Linked DNA regions of Tamandua tetradactyla. The protein of the gene in region 1 purifies or fractionates together with the protein of each later gene. This does not show direct contact. Links are inferred from orthologs where the notes say so. Each region holds a gene or a part of one and is shown on either strand. Other genes may lie near its edges.

Region 1 (7,139 bases):
CCCCCTGCCCGGCCCTCTGTGCCCCGTGCCTCCCCCATATCCCCCCTGCCCAGCCCCCAGGACTCTGTGCCTCCCCCACATCCCCCCTGCCCGGCCCCCAGTGCCCCGTGCCTCCCCCACATCCCCCCTGCCCGGCCCCCAGTGCCCCGTGCCTCCCCCACATCCCCCCTGCCCAGCCCCCAGGACTCTGTGCCTCCCCCACATCCCCCCAGACTGGCCCCCAGCGCCCCGTGCCTCCCCCACATCCCTCCTGCCCAGCCCCCAGGACTCTGTGCCTCCCCCACACACCCCCAGCCTGGCCCCCTGTGCCCCAGAGCCCCGTACCCACCCCCATCCCCCTGCCCGGCCCCCACCCCTGCGGCTTTACCGGATGTCGAAGGCCCTCACGTGGGGGTGGGCGCTGGCCACGCGGATTGTGAGGAACTGCACGGGCAGGTTGGAGTCTGGTGAGAGCTCATGCTGCCGCGACCCGGTCACGGTCAGGTGCACGTCCTGCTGCTGGGCCACATGGACCCGGTAGGTAGTCACCTTCATCACCCAGGTGTCCGTCACGACAACCCGGGCGCCCGGGGCCCCAGTGGCAAACTTGTCGATGCGCCGGAATTCGGTGTTGACGGAGGCAGCGACATCCCGCCAGCCCGAGTGCGGGAGAGCGTACAGCGCCAGGGTGCAGGCCAGCGGGTGCCGGGCCCAGCGGTTGCGGGCCCAGTGGCAGATCACAGCGCAGGCCGCAGCAGGCAAGGTCAGCGCCAGCAGGAGGAAGAGTCTCCAGGCCTCTGGGGCCCGGCCAGGGGCGTACAGCCACTCCTCTGAAGCAGCAAAGCACATGCCCACATAGTAGCCTAAAGGACGAGGCGGGCATCAGCGGGTACAGGGCTGGCCAGGCCATGCCCACCTTCCTACGGGGTCCCTGTGCCCAGCCCTGGTCAGCTCCCAGGGCAAGGCTGAGGGCAGTGGGCCTCTCTGCCTCTCACCTCTGTGGCCAGGCCTAGCTCAGCCTTTGCTCACAGCAGCGGCACGATAAGTTAGAAAAAAATGCTTTTAATTTACTTCAGTTTTACATAAACAATATCCAAGCACAAGAGAAAAAAGAGAAATCCAGAAAAGCAAAAACAAATGTGATGGCCTGGCTTCGTCTTCCACCCAAATACGATGGCTGGCATGGGCCCAGCTAGGATGAGCTCCAGAAAACTGCTGGGAGCCTCAGCGACTCTCCCCAGGGAAAGAGCTCTCTGGGGACCACACCCCTGAGCCCCAAAGAAGCAGGCTGAGGGCCCAGGCACTGTGAGCTCCCCAGGATCTGGCAGGTGGGGCTCAGGCCGAGGGAGTGTAGCTCCAGTTTGCACGGTCTCCCAGCTGCCTCCTGCTTTGTGTCTCTCTCCTGGTCTGGCTGAGGATGGGGGAGGTCACACACCCCACAGGGACTCAGGGGCAGAAAGGGGTGGGAGGCAGCAAGCCTGGGGCTTCCTTTCTACCAGGCACCCACACACCCCTGCTGCTGCCTCCAGACCCAGGAGCCCTCTCGGCCCAGCCTCGTTCTCCCAAGTCCCCCACTCCTGCCTCGACCTCCCACCAGACCTGGTTCTGCTCATGTCCTTGGACCCTGCACGTCTCGGGAGGCCCCCTGCCTGGCACCCCAGCACAGTCCCCTGGCCCTCTGGCCCATCCTTTCCCCGGCTGGTGCAGCAGCCTTGTGGAGGCCCAGGCTGCCTTGGGTCCCTGCCAAGCACCACCCGTCCCCTCAGCTGACAACGCTGGCGTTTCCGGTCTGGGACCAGGAATCTCTCAACCCCCATCTCTGCCTGCTCTCCCTGTACCCATCTTCCAAGGCCAAGAACAACTCCACCTTCTCGAGGGAACCCTCCAACCCAACTCTTCCGATGGACTCAGCTAGTACTATGGGTTCCCAGAAGCCCTTCACCTGGAACTGCCCCCACATACAAACAGCAGATGCCCACGGCCACATGGGACCCCCAGCAGCAGCGGCAGTTCACGGTCTGTCCCAGGCAGGGCCAAAGCACCCTCTCCCCACAGCAATGCTGGGGCTTCTGCCACTTGCAAGCTGTGCAGCTCTTCAGCTGCTCCCGGCCAGACAGATGCCTTTCTCCGGCCCTCGGAGCAGGGCCCTGCAGGGCAGACCCCACTTGCTCCCCCTGCCGCAAGGACTGAGGCCAGTGAGTCTGGCTTCTTAGGGGGCACGGCCACCTCTCCCAGCACAGGGTCCACCGTGGGGGGATGACCTGGGGCACTCCACCCAGCACAACGCTGTCCTGTCCGGGATTGCCGCACAACCAACTCCTCCTCAGTGAGGACCAAGCCCTGGCCAAGAAGACGAGCGGACGCAGCGACACGACTTGAGGCCTTCCTCCCCCACCCTATGCGTGCAAGCCTTCACCGGCAGCCAGGAGAGCCGCAGGACCCGAGGCTCCGAGTCCCCAGGCCTCACGCCTTCCTCTGCACCCGCCCCACGCTGCCCTCCCAACTCCAACGCCCAAGAGGGAGACAGCCACCCTGGTGAAGCCACGTTAGGGCCTTGGGTACCCGCCCCCCAACGTGTCCCCAGGATGTGCTCAACGTACAGGTCTACAGCCCAGGACTGGTACAGGCAGGCTGAGCCCCCAACCTGCGCCCTCCCCACACCGGCCAGGCTGACCTGACCCTAAGCAGGACACCAAGGACCTGTGCAGGGAGAGTAGGGCTGACCCCAAGACTCAGAGCCTATCGACAGAATTGGCCAAACACTGCTCAGCCAGTCCAGGGCAGTGTGCCTGGAACCCTGGGGGGTTGTGCGGTTACAGCCCCAACCCAGGCCAAGCACCCTGCCACCAAGAGGGCCCACTGGTGAGCAGCACCTCAACTTGGAAGGGCCGTAGTGGCCCGAGGTGCCTGTTGGACCATGGCCGGGACTAGAGCCTGCTAGTGACTCTCCATCTCAGGGCATTCCCAGCGACTGGTGGCACAGCAGCCAGGCAGGCCCGGGAGTCGGTGGGGTTGGGATCTGGGGGCTTCGGTAGGCACAAAGTGTCTTGGCCGTAAAGGGGGTCTCCACGGGAATGGGGTCTGGAGGGGTGGGATGCGGTCTGGGGCAGAAACAGGAACCTCAATAGGATGGGTCTCAGGCAGAGATGGGGTGTATCAGATAGAAACAGGGTCTTCAGCGAGGACTGGGTGTCTCTGAGAGGATCTCACTGGGGAGAGGGATCTGGGTGGGGAAGCGGTTCTAGGTGGAGACAGATAGGGACCTCAAGCGGGGACCTCAAGCAGGGACCTGTGTGGGGCGGGGATGGAGGGGGTGTCTCTCGGGTGGGGATGCTCTCGGGGGGTCCCGGGTCTGCGTGGGCCCCCGGCCCGCCTCACCGAGCGGCAGCAGTGAGTGGCACAGCAGCGTGGCGGCCGTGCGGCGCAGGTGGTAGGACACGAAGGCGGCGTCCTCGCTGCCCAGCCAGCCCGACAGCAGGTTCTGCACGGTGAGCCCGGCCGAGTGGAACTCGTTGGGCGTGAACACGAAGCACACGGCGAAGACCAGGTAGGCCAGGGTGAAGGTGACCTCGGGGCTGTCCATCGTGCCGCCGCCGGGAAGCCGCTCGAGAGAGGCTCGCCGGTCCCACCTCCGGCCCCGGCGCGGGGAAGAGGCGCGAGCGTCCCGGCCCCGGCCCGGAGCGCTGGACGAGGCCGCCGCTGGCCGGTCGCGGGGCGCTCTGGGAAATGGAGTTCCGATCCCGCCGGCCGCGGGGCACTCTGGGAGGCGGAGTCCCGGCCGCGGGGCGCTCTGGGAGGCGGAGTCCCGGCCGCGGGGCGCTCTGGGAGGCCGAGTCCCGGCCGCGGGGCGCTCTGGGAAGCGGAGTCCCCGAGCCCGGCCCAAAGGCGCAGGCCGCCCGCACGTTCTCCGCGAGGATGCAGCCCCTCCCCGCGACCTGCCGTGGAAGAGGCGCTACAACTGGCCCCATTTCACAGCTGAGAAAACTGAAGACCGAGCAAACGGCTCCCAGATCGCCCCCGTCCGCTGCGCATGCGAGTCTCCGCCCCATCCGGCCCAGGATCGAAGCGCCCCCTCGCCCGGAAGTGGAACGCGTGCGCGAGGGGCGGGGCCGGCGCGGCGCGGCCTTCCATTGGCTACTGACTGCCCCCGGCGCGCTCTGACTGGCTGCGCGGAGTCAACCGTCGGTATTTGAATCGGCGGGCGCGGCGGACTTAGCGGCCTGAGTGGGTTTCCGGCGGCGGCGCGGCTCCTCCCTGTACTCCCCTCTCTTCTCCCGGCCGCGACGGGGCGGGTCCGGAGCTCGGCGGACAGGTAGGCGGCCGCCGCCCCTCGGCTCGACCCAGTCTACGCCCTCCCAGGCCCCGGGCCTCTGCCGGGTCGGCCCCGCCGCCTGCGACCTCGGGGGAGTCAGGCTGGCTGAGGCGACCTGGGGGTGGGCGAGCGCGGACTGGGCAGCGGCGGCTCCCACAGCCCTGCCCCTCCCCAGGCGCGGCCCCCCCGGCACCTGGACCCTCCCCTCCGGTCCCCACCCGCCCCCCCCCGGCCCGCGGCCGCACTCGGCTGGCGGAAGCAGGGGTGGGAGGGACCTGCCGGGGCTGGGGAGCGTCCCCCGCTGCTCCCTCGAGGACCCCACCTGCTCTCCGCCCGCGGCGGGCCCCGCGCGGCCACCCGCGAGCAGCCTTCGTCCCTCCAGCTCCTGCCCGCTTCTCTGGCCCCCTCTGCGGCAGCGCTTCCCCAGTCGCTGCTGCCAGCACTGCCTCTCCAGCTCCTGCTCGCTCTCTGGCCCGCTCCAATCAGGCTTTTGCCACCGCGTCTCAGAGACACTTCCTCACCTTGTCTCCAGCGGACCGCGTGCTGGCGCATCCCACCCGGGTCTCGGTCCTTGTCCTGCCAAGCCCACCGGCTTGTTCCTCTCCGGAACGCTCTTTTCACCGGTGCCCCGCTCCTCTGGGTCTCCTTTGCACCTCTCCCTTCCCCACCTCCACGCAGTCGGCCCCCGGGTGCAGCCACAGGCCTCGCCTCGCTCCAGCTTTATCCCCAGTGGTGGCCACCACCCGGACCCAGTCCCTGGCTGGCACAGGACCCCGCAGTAACTACTTCTCTGGACTAGCACAGCTTCTAACTGCAGGTTCCAGATGCCCCTGTGGCTCCCCAGACACCCTCCCTACACCCCCACAGTTCAGCTCCCCCGCACCCATTAACCCAGGCTAGACTCGGAGAATCATCTGTGACTTTTCCCTGCCCTCATGTGTCCACGTAGACCCACTGACCAAGCCCAGGCCCAGCCTTGTCTCCTGGACACCTTGACTGCTTCTGGTTGCCTGTGTTCCCTCTTCCCCCTCACAGCCCCTCTGCTATGTAACAGAAGGGTCTTCTGAAGCCCAGCAGTGATATTGCCCGACCCCATGCCCCCTCATGTCCCACGTGGTGGACCCCACTCTCCTCCAACCACGCTTCCAGGCTACTCCTTGCCCCTCTGCTCAGCCACCCTGGCCTTCTTGTTCTTCAGAATGCAGCCCATCCTGCATTCTGGACTGGTGGCTGCCTCATCGGACCTTTCTCTGGTTCCACTCTTCTCCACCACCACACTCAACTCTAGCAACACCTACCTTAGGAACGCCCTCAGGGCCTGGGAGCAGCAAAGGCCCATTGTGGAACTTGCTGAACCTGACTTGAGGCCCCTTAGCAAGGCTCCTTAGCAATTTACCAGATCCTTCTGGACAGCCTCCTGGGCTTCAGGCCCCTCTGCTGACCCTCGCCTGCCCTCCCCCCTTTCCAGCCAGGGGCAGGGGAGCACGAACTATGGCTCACTGTTCAGCATTTCTCTTCTCTGCTGACTTGACACCTGGGCTCTGTCCCCTAAGCTGAGACACAAAACCCCCACACCCCACACAGCCTAGGCTGCACCCTGTTTCTTGACCACCTGAGTCAGGCTCTGGGGAGACTAAGGCAGCCTCAGCTGTGAATATTCTCCCAGGCCAGTACTTGGTCTTCTAACTTATTACCTAACAAAACAGCCCAGGATCACAGGTGATTCCACAAGCTCAGTCTTCCTCTTCTCTCCGGTTGAAGGCCCTCTGGGCTCTCGGTCTCGTGGGAGTCAAGGCCTCCTGAGACCAGACGGGGACCCTCCAGCGCTCCTGCCCAGCTCACCAAGGACATGCTGTGGGAGGCTGGGTTGGGCAGGCAGCCACGCCTGGCCCAGAAAGGGGACAACCTGTATCACACCCCTGTCTGGATGTGCTGCACCAGTCTTGTTGCCCCCGTGCTGACAGAGGCGTGGTCTGCTTTTCCAGAATGAGTCTGCAGATCTTAAATGATGAAAACGTCACTTGTGACAAAGCCACCGAAATTTGTGACTTCCTCTTTTCACCCCCGGAACTAACCGGAAAGTCGTCTGTCCTTCGTCTGTCACAGAAAGAAAATGTGCCACCCAAGAGCATAGCCAGAGCTATGAAGGCAAGTCAGTCCATCCCCACGGAGTGTGGCCTGTGCCCCCAGGCTGGCATGCTGCTACCACCGAGTCCTGCTGATGGCCGAGAATCATTTAACAGGCATGTGTTCCTTCTCGCTCCCCTGTAGGTAACTTTTCAAACGCCTCTGCGGGATCCACAGACACACAGGATTTTAAGTCCTAGTATGACCAGTAAACTAGAAGCTCCTTTTACTCTGGACGAGACTGTTGGATTGGCAAACTCTCACCGTGACTGGACACAAAGAGATGAGTAAGTGTTGGCCTGTTGTGTGCTGTGGCTCTAACACCATCGACGGGCCTTTGCAGGTGTTTATACGGTGCCCGGGTATGGGGCTTCCGAAGCCCTCTACTTGTGGGAAAGTTAACGGTCAGGTGTTTGGATTGAGTTCAGATTCCATTCTTTCCTCCTGCGATGTGTCTTTGCCAGGTGCTGGGCCTCTGCTCTCATTTCTCCAACTCCTTACGCAGTCCTGAGCCTCTCCCCAGGGAAGCTGTGTTTCTCCTCATCTCCTGTCTCTGCTTGTGACTCAATTCTTGCATGGTCTACACTGAGACATTATTCTTAAAAGGGGCGGGGCTGTGCTTTATATGATCTGTTGGGCGAAGTAAGAGTGAGCTAGGGGTTGGAGTTGAGTCCTGAGGGGTTGAGTTTATTTTAATCAGAGGAAGCTTCTTTGTAGCCCG
Region 2 (7,465 bases), on another chromosome or scaffold:
CTGGGTTCAGTGGGAGAATGTTCGCCCTTCATGTGGGAGACCGGGTTCGATTCCTGGACCATGAACCCCCCCACCCCACCCCACCCCCCAAAAATATGTATATATATATATAGTCACTGTCCTTCTTTGCACCTTGAAAAAACTGTGAAACCTAAGGTAGAAAGATCTCCGAGGCATGAATAGTGACGCTTTCATCCAATCTGGGCCTGAAGAAGACAGAAAGTAAGCGCTGCATAGGAACTTAGAAAAAGGATCTATAAGACGAGATTCTAAGTGCAATGCACCTCATTCAAGAGTCAAACTTTAATTCTCTAATCGCTGTTCAAGGACATGATAAAATAAACGTGGTTGCGTCTGTTTCATGGCAAAGAAACAGTCTATATTTATGTTTTTTCCTTCACATGTGAACATGGCCCCACTGACCCATTTAGTAGGATGTATGATTGGGATGTTTCAATCTTTGTTTTGAAACATTCCCTCACTCCCATAGTTATTTTCCTTACAGACTGCTTCCCCATTAAAATAGCTGGCAGGGGCAGGGAGAGCTCAGCACAGGGAACAGACAGACTTTTCTCTCCAGCCAAGGCTCCAGCTCACAACTTTGGACTCCTTGAAACAGTATTAAAACAGACCCAGACGGTCTAACTGAGTGTAAACCTAAGGCCCCAAGCCGCACAATCTGCTTATTCCATTTAACAGGGCATAAAGCGCCAGGTACTCTCACTTATCCTGCCCTCAGTGGTTTTCCTTCCAGCCTGTAAAGGCCTGTTGACAGCCTGCTGCCAAGGTCCCTATCTCTCCCCTCCACCACCTTCCTTTTTGGGAGGCTGATGCTTCTGTGGCCACAGTTGTTGGTCATCCGGCATTCTTGGAGCTACAGATAGGGAAGCTCCAAAAGGAGAAGGTATTCATTCCTGAATTCAGTCGCGCTTGTTAAATGCAACCAGATGTACGCTCGTGTAAGCCTTTCGGTCTCGGAGGCGAGTGGAGGTAGGAAATCCCAGTCACTTGAAATCTGCACTCATGTCAGCACTGCTATCTCCAGGCCATACTTCAGGAGATGCCTGAACTGAAAGTTGAAAGGGAGATTTCCATCGAGGTTGCTCCTCTCTGGGCTGAAAAGGCAGGTTCCTGTCCCAAGGCAGCAATGCCTTGACCAGAATACCACTTCTGATGAAGATGGACTGAGCACTGTCGCAGTCCTAGCAGGTTTTATAAAAATGTCCGGCATGGTTGGTTATTCCACAGTCACAACATCTGGCATTTGCTTCATGCTTCTGGTTGCGATAATATAAAGTATTCCCTTTGCCCTCTAACGTGCACAAGGGTTTCACTGTCCTCTGAATATTCTCCTTTGGGAGACCCCTAGAACAAAGAAGGCAGACATAACACTAATCGATACATTGATAAATGCTATTTGATGATTATCCTAGACTGCAAAAGATCACTGGTCAGGCAATCTCTGAACACCCAGTATGGGTAAGGCCCCACATGCTCTACCAGCCCCCTCCCACTTTATCTGTCAGACCCATCTCCTGATGCAGACTGCCCACTGCTCCGCTGCGGCTCCAGTGGCCTCACTCTTCTCCACCCTGCTGGCATGTTCCCACCGCGGGGCCTCTGGACAGCTGTTCCCTCTGGCTGGCACTTTCTTCCCCAGATGCAGTCGTGGCTGAAAGTCTTTCCTGATAGGCATCCTCAGTGAAACCTGCTCTGACCACCCTTTTTAAAAATTAGTCTTCCCTACCTCCACTTCCTGATTCCTTTCTGCCTGCTTTATTCTTTTTTTTTCTTTTCCCATTGCACAGATAATCTTCTAACATGCTATATCACTTATTTGTTTGTTGCCTGTCTGCTTCCCCACTTGAGTGTGTGCTCCACGAGGGGAGGGTGGTTTATCGTTCAGGTTTGGTTTGATTTGGCTGGTTTGCTGTTCAAGGGCCTAGAACATTTCCTGCACACATGAGGTACTCAATAAATATTTGTCAAATGAATAAACCAATGAATGAAGTCGAATCAAATGCATACCTCCTACAAGAGCTACTACACCTAGCCCATCCGAGACAAAAATGGATTATGGCATTGTGATGTAAAACTCTCCAGGACCTGGCCTCCACACATCCTGTATCAATCAAAATTCTAGGTTCCCATCACCCTCTCTTTAAGCATACTCTTCAGGTTAGTTCCGGTAAACATGTCAATGGCCAATGACTAAACAAGACTCTGTATTCACAACCCGAAGATTACTGGAACCTTTTTATTCTAATTGGTTTCTGTCTCCTTACCCACATGTGAATCTGTTCTCAACTCCCATAATTTCACTCCCTCTACTCTTCACCTGTGGTCTCATCCACTACCACAATTTCAGCCTTTCATTCTATGGAGGTGATTTTCAAATCTCTATTGCTTGAGTCCTAATGTCTTCTGCCTGCTCCCATTCTGTATTTTTCAGGCCTACTTAGATAACTCCATTTGAACGTGTCATTGGTACCTAAAAGTAAACATTGCTAAAACTAGACTCCTTGCCTTCCCTGACAAATTGGTATCTCCCGACTTCCCACTTCCATTTAGGAAATCACTGCCCTCCCAGTCTCTACACTCAAAACCTGGCATTCTTTTTGACTCATCTACCAAAACTACTTTCACCTTTGTACCTAATCTAGACAATTGCCAAATCCTCCACTATCTCTTTAATCTGTTCTCATTGCCACTGCTATTAGTTCATGTGTCTCCTAATTAGCCTCCCACTTTCCAGCTCTAACTCATTTTAGACAATCAAGCTAATTAATTTTTTAAAGTAGGGTTTGGATTTTGTTACTCCTGCTCAGAAACCTTCAATAGCTCCCCATTGCCTACTAAAAACAGCACACATTCCTTACTCTGGCATTACACGATCCATTCCTAATCTCTACTTCCCAACATGAATGCAGTTCTAAAATCAAACCCACACGTTCATTCCCTTACATACAATACACTTTCTTGTCTCTCCTCTTGCTTGCATTTTTCCTATAACTAGACATGTTCTCCCTCCCCATTCTAATAAAAAAAGTAACATGTCAATGATAAAACAAAAACAAACAAACAAAAACTCAGTCCCATTCCTTTTAAGTTTCTTGCAATTCCAGGAATGTTCTAATCATTTTGGACATGTGCACAAATGCACATACATTTATAACTATACATAAATCATCCCATATATACTTTTCTGCAACGTACCTTTTTCAATTAATAAAATTTGTGTATTTTTCTATATCAGCATGTATAGATTAGCTATATTCTTTTTTTAGTGCTGTATGGCTGGGTCACATTTCATTCCTTTTCCGTGTGAGTATCCTGTTATTGTAGCACCATTTGTTGTTGGTTTCTTTTGGGAAGTTCGTGGGCGGGGAATCACTGGGTCTCCCTCATGGCAGGGGAGAATTCTACCACTGAACCACCCTCGCACACCCACCACATTCTTTTCAACAGTGGTTTAGTGTTCCATTGAATGAAAAAACTATAATTTATGTAGGTAACAAGTTCTCTGTTGATGGATATGTAGTTTCCTATCACAAGCAGTACTGCAGTGTGCATTTTTCTTTGCCTATTTTCTTTAACCTGTGGGATAAAATCTTAACAGTGGTATTACTGGGTCAAAGATTACATACATTTTACATCTTAATATCTGCCAATTGTCCTCCTAAACGTTTGTACCAATTATACTCCCATCATCAGTGAGTTTGAGTGTCTATTTCTCCAAATGGTTGTCAACCCAAGGTTGTTTTCATCTATTTCAACTTGACAGATTTAAAAAAAAAAGTTTTAATTTGCTTTTATCCATCTCCTCTCCAGCTTTCGGCCTGTTGGTAATCGACATATTCTTCAAATCCCGGATTAAAAATACATCCCCTTTATAGATGCTTCATCAAAAAATGTCTTGCTTCATTAAATAACTACAGCTCTCCATTCATATAGTTCCAAATTGCTTTCCTTAAATTATCTAAGCTTCTTATTTTAAAAACAGGAATAGTAAGCATTCGCAGAATGTTTAAGAGTTTATTCAAGGCCTTTCCCAGTTATTTTCAATTAGCTATATTAAATCCTCACCCTAAATTTGCGAGGAAAGCTTCTTTGTCCCCATTTTCCAGACAAGGAAAATGAGCTCCAGAAAGATTTGCTCGGCTGTCATCCCAGAGAAGAAGGCGAGTCCCAGCGCCGCGCCCTGATGCCCCGCCGCACCCAGCTGCCCGTTTCCCTCGCAGCACTTCGCCGCACAATCAGCATGTGGTTAATGAAATGACTGGAAAAAATGTCAGGTGCAAACAGCAGTTTAAGCACGTGAGATTAAAGCCTCGGCCAGGGATGCACAGCTCCACCTGCCCCCTTCGCCCTTCCTCCCGGGACCGCGGGCCGCCTGGAAGGCTAGCGGCCCCTTTAAGGCTGCAGGCGGCGCGTGCCCACAGCTCTTTCAAACGGACCAATAGCAGGGTACGGGGCGGCCCTACAAGGGCCAATAAATGGCGAGAACACTGCGGGGTGTGCGGCGGCGCAAGCGGTTTTGAGCGGCTTCGAGCAGGCCCCAGGGTGCTGGCCCGGCGGAGGTGAGCGAGCGGTGGGCCTCACCCACCCGTCTAGGGCCCGGGGCCCGAGTGCGGCGTGCGCGGAGGGCCCCGAGACACGGGTGCACGCCTCTCCTGCCCCGCGAGCCCGGCGCTGCTGAAGCGGCGAGGCGGGGCGGAGGCCCGGGCGCCCGCGGCTGGGAGGGCGGGGGGCGCGAGCCGCCGAGGCCGAGGCTGGGGTCCGCCGCCCCAGCGCACGGCGGGGCCCGGGGGCGGCGGCTGGGGGCCGCGGGCGAGGCGGGACGGAGGCCCGGGCGCTCGCGGCTGGGAGGGCGGGGGGCGCGAGCCGCCGAGGCCGAGGCTGGGGTCCGCCGCCCCAGCGCACGGCGGGGCCCGGGGGCGGCGGCTGGGGGCCGCGGGCGAGGCTGGGGCGCGCCCGAGGCTGGGGCGCGCCCGGCGCCGAGGTGTTCCGGGGCCGGGCGAGGGGGCCCGCGGCCCGCCCTGCTGTAACGCCCCTCGCGTAGCTGTCGGAGGAATGAATAAGTGAGCGAAAGCCCGTGCGGGCTGTGAGCGGCCCGGTGGCCTCGGAGCGTGACGAGGGCGGCCGTGCTGGGGCCTGGCGCGCACCTGGGCCCCCGCCCCGACTCGAGGTGTGCTGCGATTTTAACGACTCGGTCGGTCACCGCCCCGCTGGCGCGCCGGGCTTTCTGCACCGCGAGGCATCCCCTTTCGGAAGGCGTGGGTAGAGTTCAGGTGGCTGTCCAGCTTTGAGGTTTGGGGGCGCGTTACAGTAGCCAGAGATGTAGGCTAAGCAGGCCTTGCGATTCAAGGTGGGGGTTTGGGAAACCAGGCTTTTACCTTTTTAGCCCTTAGCACTGTTGAGTTAGTTACCCTGCTGTAGTGGTCATTGTGGAATTTAAATGCACCCCGTTTTGTTTGTGGGGTAGAAAGTGACGTTGCCAGAGTGCCTACTGTGTGTTGGAAAACATAGTCGTGTTGGTGAATCTTAATTAGTTCTCTCATTCATCAGTAACAGAGGGTGAGTGGCTTTTGCAGAAGTTGCTCCAAATTTATGCATGGCTCTAATTTAATCTCTTAGGAACCAAGGCATCAAATCTTGGCCCAGAAATGTTGCCTGTCTTATTTCTTATATATAATTATAGTAATTGAAACTCATTTTTAGAAAAGTTGAGCTCCTCTTTTCTCCATTTTCATCTCCCTGGAAAGTCCTTCTTTGACCCAAAGAGTAATTACCAATAATTAAGCTAACAAGCTTTTGAAATTTACGAAGTCATAAAAGATCTGGGCTTTTCTTAAGTGACCAAACAAAATGTAATGTTGCTTTTGTGAAACTTAATATAGAAAAAATGAAATCAATTTATGTTGCCAGCATAAATTAAACCTAGTAGTTAAAGTATTGAGAGAAAAATTAACACAGGTTTTTGAAGTCTTTTTACTTAGGCAGTGGTAAGCAAAGACAGTTGTTAATAATAAATGTTATACTTCATTCTCTTTTAAAATTTGAATCCTCAACTTTGGATTATGAACAGTGGTTTGATAATTCCATCACAGAGATAACCTACAGCTGTCAGCTCAATTTTTGAAATAAGGTTTTAATTGTAGTAAATTTAAGTACCCTTAATATTAGAAATAGCATTCTAGGTTTGGGGGAAGCTCTTAGAGATAATAAACATCTTGAACAATGCCTTTGGGTGTTGTTTTAAATCTTGGGGTTGTTTATTCTTTTTTTTTTTTCTCAATTTAATGGGGTCTCCTTTATTCATTCAGTCAGTCAACAGATATTAATGTATCTACTGCACATCAAACATTGTACTAGGTTCTAGAAATACCTGGGTGAACCAGAAAAGGACAAATCTCCAGACCTAAAAGAATTTCACAATTTAATCTCTCCAACAGTATACTGTAGCAAATTTTAGTTTTTATGATCCCTGTAGCCCACCTCTGGGTTTTGAATAAAATAAATGCTCAAATACTTTAACCAGCAGTAGCTAACATTTATTGAATGCTGAATGGGTGCCATACTTATCTTTTTTAATCCATGTAACAATATTTTACAGATAAGGAAATTTAGACTTAGAAAGGCTATGCTCCCCCCCCTTGTTTTTAAACTTCTATCATACATGTGGTGAAATATGAATGAATGACAGGGCATGGTAGTTTTTTGAGGGAAGATGCAAGCAGTTCAAGATAACACTGATCACAATATGAGAGATGGGCAGCTGTGAGAGTGGGGGAGCTGAATATAAAGAATGTGAAATTGAGGTTTTGATCTAATTATGATTCATTGACTCCTGGTGGCCAGTGTTGAAGAGGTTTGAGGTTCTTAAGGGATTTTAGTATTCTTCCCTCTGGAGTGCAGAATATGTTACTTGCCTTCGCATTTGCTGTTTTCAGCGTGGAACTTACACTGGACCCCTATCTAAGTCTGTCTTTAAGTTATAGGCTCCACTCAGCTCTCAACTTATATGTCATCTCTTTAAAGAGGCATTCTCTAATCTCCCAATTAGAGAAGCCATCTTAGTCACTCTTCTTCATTTTCCTTTTCCATTATTTCATAGCATTTATTGTTTGCTTATATACTGTGTGATTTCCTCACAGAACGTAAGTACTATGAAAGCATAGTACAGGTTTTTCTATCTTGTGATCACAATGCCTTAAACAATGCCTGGAAGAAAACGCTCAAAAAATATTTGTTGAGCAAAACTTTTCAAAACTGGTATAGTGTTCTTTGTAGTGAAAAGGACAGTATATAACTAACCAGTTGGCTGTGTTACTGTGTCTTTGGATTTAAAGCAGCATCAGCAGACTAATTTGGAAAATCTTTTAGAAAACATAGTTTTGTATTTGTGTCAGCTGGGTGAGGGGAGATCTGGTTCCCCACCCCCACCTTTTTTAACATTTTTTAT

Evidence for each region. Proteins that work in one complex are often made in the same cells at the same time.
Region 2: the proteins of TACC3 (region 1) and CKAP5 purify together in Homo sapiens (co-immunoprecipitation; 5 studies listed by BioGRID and IntAct, with this or other methods). This does not show direct contact. The link is inferred for Tamandua tetradactyla from reciprocal best matches to the Homo sapiens genes TACC3 and CKAP5.

What each region holds. Positions count from the first base shown.
Region 1 is NC_135345.1:1,404,965-1,412,103, forward strand, and holds the start of TACC3 (transforming acidic coiled-coil-containing protein 3), read left to right. Parts: upstream 1-4,130; 5' UTR 4,131-4,291; intron 4,292-6,276; 5' UTR 6,277-6,277; coding exon 6,278-6,439; intron 6,440-6,562; coding exon 6,563-6,705; intron 6,706-7,139. Other genes in the region: TMEM129 (E3 ubiquitin-protein ligase TM129), read right to left, coding at 368-842, 3,358-3,562. UniProt on the Homo sapiens protein: Plays a role in the microtubule-dependent coupling of the nucleus and the centrosome. Involved in the processes that regulate centrosome-mediated interkinetic nuclear migration (INM) of neural progenitors.
Region 2 is NC_135334.1:123,573,609-123,581,073, reverse strand, and holds the start of CKAP5 (cytoskeleton-associated protein 5), read left to right. Parts: upstream 1-4,456; 5' UTR 4,457-4,580; intron 4,581-5,269; exon of another isoform or gene 5,270-5,291; intron 5,292-7,465. UniProt on the Homo sapiens protein: Binds to the plus end of microtubules and regulates microtubule dynamics and microtubule organization. Acts as a processive microtubule polymerase. Promotes cytoplasmic microtubule nucleation and elongation. Plays a major role in organizing spindle poles.